Linked DNA regions of Xenopus tropicalis. The protein of the gene in region 1 interacts with the protein of each later gene in a biochemical or structural test. Links are inferred from orthologs where the notes say so. Each region holds a gene or a part of one and is shown on either strand. Other genes may lie near its edges.

Region 1 (3,500 bases):
CTATAAACCACTGGCTGGTTGCTAGGTTAAACTGGACCCTAGCAACCAGATAGCTGCTGAAAACCCAAGCTGGAGAGCTGCTGAACAAAAAGCTAAATAATTTAAAAATCTGCAAATAAAAAATGAAGACCAATTGCAAACTGAATACATTATACTAAACCTTAATTTAAAGGTGAACTACCCCTTTAATTCTCCTTTCAATGTTTCCGGACCGACCGAGCATCTCTGGGGCAACAAGGCAACTTCCTTTCCTGTAAAGCACTTCCAGCATGACTGTATTGCCCTACAGACTTACTGCCCTCTGCTATGGGGGCAAATCTAATCTGATAAAAGCCCAGACACCGAGCATCGACGCTGCAGGTTCCATCGGGAGAGGCACAAAGCCAAACTGGCCCATACAGTACTCACTGTTCGATCCTCTAGGTACATTGTTTTGGATAAGAAGTCAATTCCAATTGTTGCCTAAAACCAAAGAAGAGAAAAACATGTCAACTGTGTGTATTTTAGGAGGTTAAAAACATTTTAATAGGCTTTCAACTTAACTATATAAAACTATGGCACATAGGGATTCCCCTGTACTAAGCACAATTCAGCAGGAACAGCCCCCTAAGTTTGCTCATAGCCTGTACAGAGAGATACCATAAAACTATGGCACATAGGGATTCCCCTGTACTAAGCACAATTCAGCAGGAACAGCCCCCTAAGTTTGCTCATAGCCTGTACAGAGAGATACCATAAAACTATGGCACATAGGGATTCCCCTGTACTAAGCACAATTCAGCAGGAACAGCCCCCTAAGTTTGCTCATAGCTTGTACAGAGAGATACCATAAAACTATGGCACATAGGGATTCCCCTGTACTAAGCACAATTCAGCAGGAACAGCCCCCTAAGTTTGCTCATAGCCTGTACAGAGAGATACCATAAAACTATGGCACATAGGGATTCCCCTGTACTAAGCACAATTCAGCAGGAACAGCCCCCTAAGTTTGCTCATAGCCTGTACAGAGAGATACCATAAAACTATGGCACATAGGGATTCCCCTGTACTAAGCACAATTCAGCAGGAACAGCCCCCTAAGTTTGCTCATAGCCTGTACAGAGAGATACCATAAAACTATGGCACATAGGGATTCCCCTGTACTAAGCACAATTCAGCAGGAACAGCCCCCTAAGTTTGCTCATAGCCTGTACAGAGAGATACCATAAAACTATGGCACATAGGGATTCCCCTGTACTAAGCACAATTCAGCAGGAACAGCCCCCTAAGTTTGCTCATAGCCTGTACAGAGAGATACCATAAAAATATGGCACATAGGGATTCCCCTGTACTAAGTACAATTCAGCAGGAACAGCCCCATCAGTTTGCTCATAGCCTGTACAGAGAGATACCATAAAACTATGGCACATAGGGATTCCCCTGTACTAAGCACAATTCAGCAGGAACAGCCCCATCAGTTTGCTCATAGCCTGTACAGAGAGATACCATAACAATATGGCACATAGGGATTCCCCTGTACTAAGCACAATTCAGCAGGAACAGCCCCCTAAGTTTGCTCATAGCCTGTACAGAGAGATACCATAAAACTATGGCACATAGGGATTCCCCTGTACTAAGCACAATTCAGCAGGAACAGCCCCCTAAGTTTGCTCATAGCCTGTACAGAGAGATACCATAAAACTATGGCACATAGGGATTCCCCTGTACTAAGCACAATTCAGCAGGAACAGCCCCCTAAGTTTGCTCATAGCCTGTACAGAGAGATACCATAAAAATATGGCACATAGGGATTCCCCTGTACTAAGTACAATTCAGCAGGAACAGCCCCCTAAGTTTGCTCATAGCCTGTACAGAGAGATACCATAAAACTATGGCACATAGGGATTCCCCTGTACTAAGCACAATTCAGCAGGAACAGCCCCCTAAGTTTGCTCATAGCCTGTACAGAGAGATACCATAAAAATATGGCACATAGGGATTCCCCTGTACTAAGTACAATTAAGCAGGAACAGCCCCCTAAGTTTGCTCATAGCCTGTACAGAGAGATACCATAAAACTATGGCACATAGGGATTCCCCTGTACTAAGCACAATTCAGCAGGAACAGCCCCCTAAGTTTGCCCATAGCCTGTACAGAGAGAGACCATAAAACTATGGCACATAGGGATTCCCCTGTACTAAGCACAATTCAGCAGGAACAGCCCCCTAAGTTAGCCCATAGCCTGTACAGAGAGATACCATAAAACTATGGCACATAGGGATTCCCCTGTACTAAGCACAATTCAGCAGGAACAGCCCCCTAAGTTAGCCCATAGCCTGTACAGAGAGATACCATAAAACTATGGCACATAGGGATTCCCCTGTACTAAGCACAATTCAGCAGGAACAGCCCCCTAAGTTTGCCCATAGCCTGTACAGAGAGAGACCATAAAACTATGGCACATAGGGATTCCCCTGTACTAAGCACAATTCAGCAGGAACAGCCCCCTAAGTTTGCCCATAGCCTGTACAGAGAGAGACCATAAAACTATGGCACATAGGGATTCCCCTGTACTAAGCACAATTCAGCAGGAACAGCCCCCTAAGTTTGCTCATAGCCTGTACAGAGAGAGACCATAAAACTATGGCACATAGGGATTCCCCTGTACTACATGACATTAGACTACACGCTTACCTGGTATGTGTTGTCAAAGCTGTCATACATGAACCTGGTTATTAAAGAAGTCTTCCCAACTAGAGAGAGAGAGAGAGAGAGAGAGAGAGAGAGATAATTAGGCTCTATAGAACACACAGGCACATACTTCTAAGCAATTAAAGGCGTTGTTGGCCTTTAACTTCTAGTTCGATGTAGAGACTTCTATTCTGAGACAATTTGCAATTGGCCTTCATTTTTTAATGTGAGTGGGTTTTTAAATTATTTAGCTTTTTAGAAGCTCTCCAGTTTGGTATTTCAGCAGCTATCTGGTTGCTAGGACCCAAATTACCCTAGCAACCTGGCTATGATTTGCGTTCGGGACTGGAATATGAATAGGAGATGGGCAGAATAGAAAAGATTAACAGTAACAATAAAACTGGAGCCTCACAGAGCAATAGGGTTTGGCTGCCGGGGTCAGTGACCCCCATTTGAAAACTGGAAAGAGGCAAATAATTCAAAAACTATTAAAAAAAAAATGAAGACCAATTGAAAAGTTGCTAAGATTTAGCCATTCTTAAATTTATGGATGGGGCAAACAAGTGGGTAGGGAGTTGGTTACTAACTATTAACAAACCCCACCTCACCTGAATGAATGATACAATATACACTGTGTAAACGGAAACATTGCTACAATGCCCCCCCCAGTAGTAAGGACACTTGGCACAAAGCAGGGAATGTAGGGGGAGGGGGGACTAAAATACACACAAACCGGAGGAGAGCAAATTTACTCAGCCACGTGTCTGTATTGACATTGCACAATGTGCCTGGCAGGAGCCGGCTACTCGCGAGGGGAAATGGCTGCGCTA
Region 2 (4,204 bases), on another chromosome or scaffold:
TAGCTAAAAAGATCTGGCTGGAGGAGGACTGCAAAAGCCAGTGGATGTGGTCTGAAACTGACTGCCGACCCACATATTTGGTATTGGTTTGATTTGGCCATACCATCTGGTGACCTGCCCAAGCAAACAAATCTTTCTGTGTACAGCCAGCTTAGGTACGTAATAAGTATTTGTAAGCTCAAAAGTTATAGAACAAACAATACATAGAACAAACCTTGCTCACTCCTAGCAAGCTGTCCAGCATTGGACTGAAAAGAAACATAAGACTGGGTTGACTTTCTATACCTGGGGAGGATGGCCCAGTCCTGGTGAGATGACAGAGAAGTCAGACAGAAGTGCTTTTCGGATTCCTGCCCCACATTCAGCTGCAGTAGATTCAAACACTGGGTTCTCCTCATCATCTGAGAGCAGTCCCATGCCAGGGGATACAACATTGCTAACCATGATTATTCAGGCCCTGTACCTAGTAGGGAAAGTAATGGTAGCACTGAGTAAATGCAGAAAATCAAAGACTCAGTTGTGTGTATAGATATATCCAGCTGCTTTAACTTTTGCAAACCTGCCATGACCCTTAGGAGAGAAGTACTAACACAGAACTAATAGCACAGTATGGTGATATCTAATAATAAATCATGTCTGAACCACTACATTAAACAAAAAGTGAGTGTAATGTACAGTGTTTATGCTTTATGGGTGTGACTGACCTAATTCGGAGAGTATGCTAGTTTCATCACAGATATAAAGAGAGCAAGAAGGGTGTAGTGTTGTCCCTGGTAACCGCAACTTACAATATTTATTAACTGAAAGCTGTTGAATATAGGATTTCTGCAGCACAAGAATTAGTTAAAATTATATATATATATATATATATATATATATATATATATATATATATATATATATATATATATATATATATATATATATATATATATATATATATATAAACAGATAATACCATAATTTTAGTAGGTGTTGGAGAAAATCCCTTGTACAACACAACCAAAAATCTGTGTCAGACAACATCCCAGTGTTCCATTACCCTATGGTCTGCCCCACAGAAGGTGCAGGATAATAGAGACAGAGGAAACAATACTACTCATGTAAGAAAATGCCACTCATGATTGGCCAACATGCACCTTCCCCCCCATCCCCCTGAGGTGTGTGGCACCTAGAAAAATATAACTTGGACTAGTGCAATTTTTCAATAAAAACCTACACCAGCCTGGGTTCCAAAGAGTAGTGGTGATTTCCCTTACTGTAAGTAGCTCAACAAATTGGACTTTTGTAGTAGTGTTTTAACCTTTAGGTATATTTTAATCTATACAGGAATATAGTGTATAATTTGCTTTCATTATGCAAAAAAAACATGGACATTCCCTTTAAGACTTTTAGTATTAACAAAACATTCACTTCATATTTCTGTAATGTCTTGCTTACTAAGTCATGAATATAAATAACCCAATATCAGAAGTGAAAGCCACCACCTAAAAAGAAAAGATATTCAATATCATCTAAAAGAATGGAATGTGCACATATGAAAAGGCACATTCCATTTTCATAAGTCACTTCCCTATGACTTAGCAAACAAAACTACTGACACATTCTCAGGTTACAGTGCACTTAACATTTGCAATTTTAGAACAAAGACTTTTGTACCAGAAAAAAAAAAAAAAACAGGTTTAGAGTAAGTATACAGGAAAGGGACTTATTTACATGCAGTTAAACCTTTCCTTCACTGTATATAAATAGATTTCCTTCTTTCCAATGTAACCATATTGTTTAGGTGATTGGGTAGGTACTGTTAAAATTGTTAATAGCTATTAACTGTACTATAGTTAAAGGAATTCTGGTATAATTCATCTTAAGTATATGTTTCCCTGTGGACAAATTCCATGGGTCTATGATACAAAAATGTATATATATGTTTGTATACTCACACACAACACTTTCCTGACCTCTTTAGGCCAGGGCAGATGAATGACATTTTAGGAGCAAGTTACCATAAAAGTCCTGCATAGCGGCAAGTGACATGAGGGAATGGCAAAGATGGGAGTACTCAAAGCCACACTCACGTTATGCCCAGCACTGGCTTGTGACACACACTGGCACTTGAACACACTGTGATATTTGAAACTGCAGTCAAACACCTACACAACAGGGTAGTAGAGGCCAGTGGGAAATAAGCAGCCCTCCAGGGGATTTTATACCTCCCCCTTCATCCCCAGGTTCTTCATTACACAACATCATTTATATATATAACCCAGCCCTCAGTAATACATAATATCAAAGAAATGACTGACAATTCTTTTATCAGTACAGTGAATGCCTGACCCACTATATGGAAACAGACAGCACTTAGCTTTAGACAGCACTCCCACCATATACTTCCTGCATTACCCAGCAGACAAATAATAAATATAATACCCCTACTTTTGAACAACTCCCTGTATGCGTTACTAGTGGCAGCACAATAGATCGCCAGTCACTGGGACAACCTTCGTATGAAAAGATTATAAATACATAAATAATAAACCATATAGGGCAGATATCTAGACAGAAGAAGTAAACCTCAAAGCCAGTGAACTAAGAGGGATCATACCAAGGTACTGAATATAGAAACATATGTAGAATCTCCCAATTACAACAAAACTAACCTGTGTTATAATGACCCTTGGTATTACCCTGTGAGCCCCGGACCGAAACCACCGCCTCCCGGGACAGGCAGCTCTCAGCAGACTCGTGATTCCCGACTGTTGCTACTTTCCGAATTCAAACTAGGCGCTGGGGAATTCAACCAATCCTAAAGAACTTTGCTTGTCGCAGCCAATCGGATATTGAGAACTCTGTCATCCAATAGGCTTTCTAGTTAAGGAAACCTTGCTAGACTAGATGCGTGCTCAACCAAACAGTGCGATTATTGGATCTGGATGAAATAACCTGCCCTTTCTTCCGGCTCATACGGGAATCATTATTTCAACGTGTTGCTTTGTTTCAAACTGTTGTGCGAAAATGTGGTGTTTTTGTTTGAATTATTAAAGGTTTCGTTATACTGACAATTGCTAAATAATAGGGAAAAACTCATTTCTAACTACAAAACTGTACCAGTCTCTGTTTTAGCTTTTTATATAAAAACTATTTTCTGACTACAAAATTGTGCCAGTCTCTATTTCAGTATTTTATATTGCAGTAAGTATAAATACCAGTATTCTTTTATTTTCTTACACTAAAAAAAATCCAAGCATTTCTTCAAAATAACTAATGTATCTGACAGCATCCATTTCAGGGGAAAATTCTAGTTATGCGCCGAATCCCAGATTCAGTTTGGGATTCGGGCGGAATCCAGCCTTTTTATGATGGATTTGGTTTTGGCAGATCCAAATCACAATTAGCATATGCAAATTAGCATTCAGAAAGGGTTAAATTTTGGGAGGAAAATTTTTTTGAGCGGCAAATTTTAACCCTTCTGAATTACTAATTAGCATACGCTAATTTGGATTCGGCTCAGGATTCAACAGAATTCATTTTGGCCAAACCCAAAATAGTGGGTTCGGTGCATCCCTGCGAAAATTCCACAACTTTTAAAATCTCACCTAGGCATGAAACCTAACTGCAGCCCCCCCCCATGACATCACGTGCATCCCTGCACCTGATGTCCCAACTGTCACATCCACTGAAGATTCCATCTGACCCCTCATCCTCCCCCTTCCGCTGTTGGATTTATGCTGGAGTGTCTGTTGGCAGCTGGGAGGGTTACTTTTCTTTTTAAAAAAATTTAGGGATAATATAGACACCTGACTTACTAATAGGCATGAAGCGAACCTCAAAAAAAAAGTTCGCGAACCCGTTCGCGAACTTACGCCAAAAAGTGCGAAAGTTCGCGAACTTTGCGAACCCCATAGACTTCAATGGGAAGGCGAGCTTTAAAACCTAGAAAAGCCATTTTTGGCCAGAAAACTGATTTTAAAGTTGTTTAAAGGGTGCCACGACCTGGACAGTGGCATGCAGGAGGGGGATCAAGGGCAAAAATTTCTCTGAAACATACATTGTTGACACAGCGTTGCGCAAAAATGCAAGCTATTCCTATGTATACGCAAAGGCAGCTGGCAGACCTAGTGGAAATACGCTGCATTTTTTGCTATTTCACACTATTAGCACCATAGAAACGGGATTTGCTTACACCAGTACTAGGCTGAAAAACGCC

What was found.
Region 2: the proteins of rab6a (region 1) and kif20a form a complex in vitro, tested with the Homo sapiens proteins (2 studies listed by BioGRID). The link is inferred for Xenopus tropicalis from reciprocal best matches to the Homo sapiens genes RAB6A and KIF20A.

What each region holds. Positions count from the first base shown.
Region 1 is NC_030678.2:174,052,036-174,055,535, forward strand, and holds part of rab6a (ras-related protein Rab-6A), read right to left. Parts: intron 2,733-3,500; coding exon 2,674-2,732; intron 463-2,673; coding exon 409-462; intron 1-408. UniProt on the Homo sapiens protein: The small GTPases Rab are key regulators of intracellular membrane trafficking, from the formation of transport vesicles to their fusion with membranes.
Region 2 is NC_030679.2:47,845,145-47,849,348, reverse strand, and holds the start of kif20a (kinesin-like protein KIF20A), read right to left. Parts: upstream 2,801-4,204; 5' UTR 2,658-2,800; intron 464-2,657; 5' UTR 445-463; coding exon 286-444; intron 1-285. UniProt on the Homo sapiens protein: Mitotic kinesin required for chromosome passenger complex (CPC)-mediated cytokinesis. Following phosphorylation by PLK1, involved in recruitment of PLK1 to the central spindle. Interacts with guanosine triphosphate (GTP)-bound forms of RAB6A and RAB6B.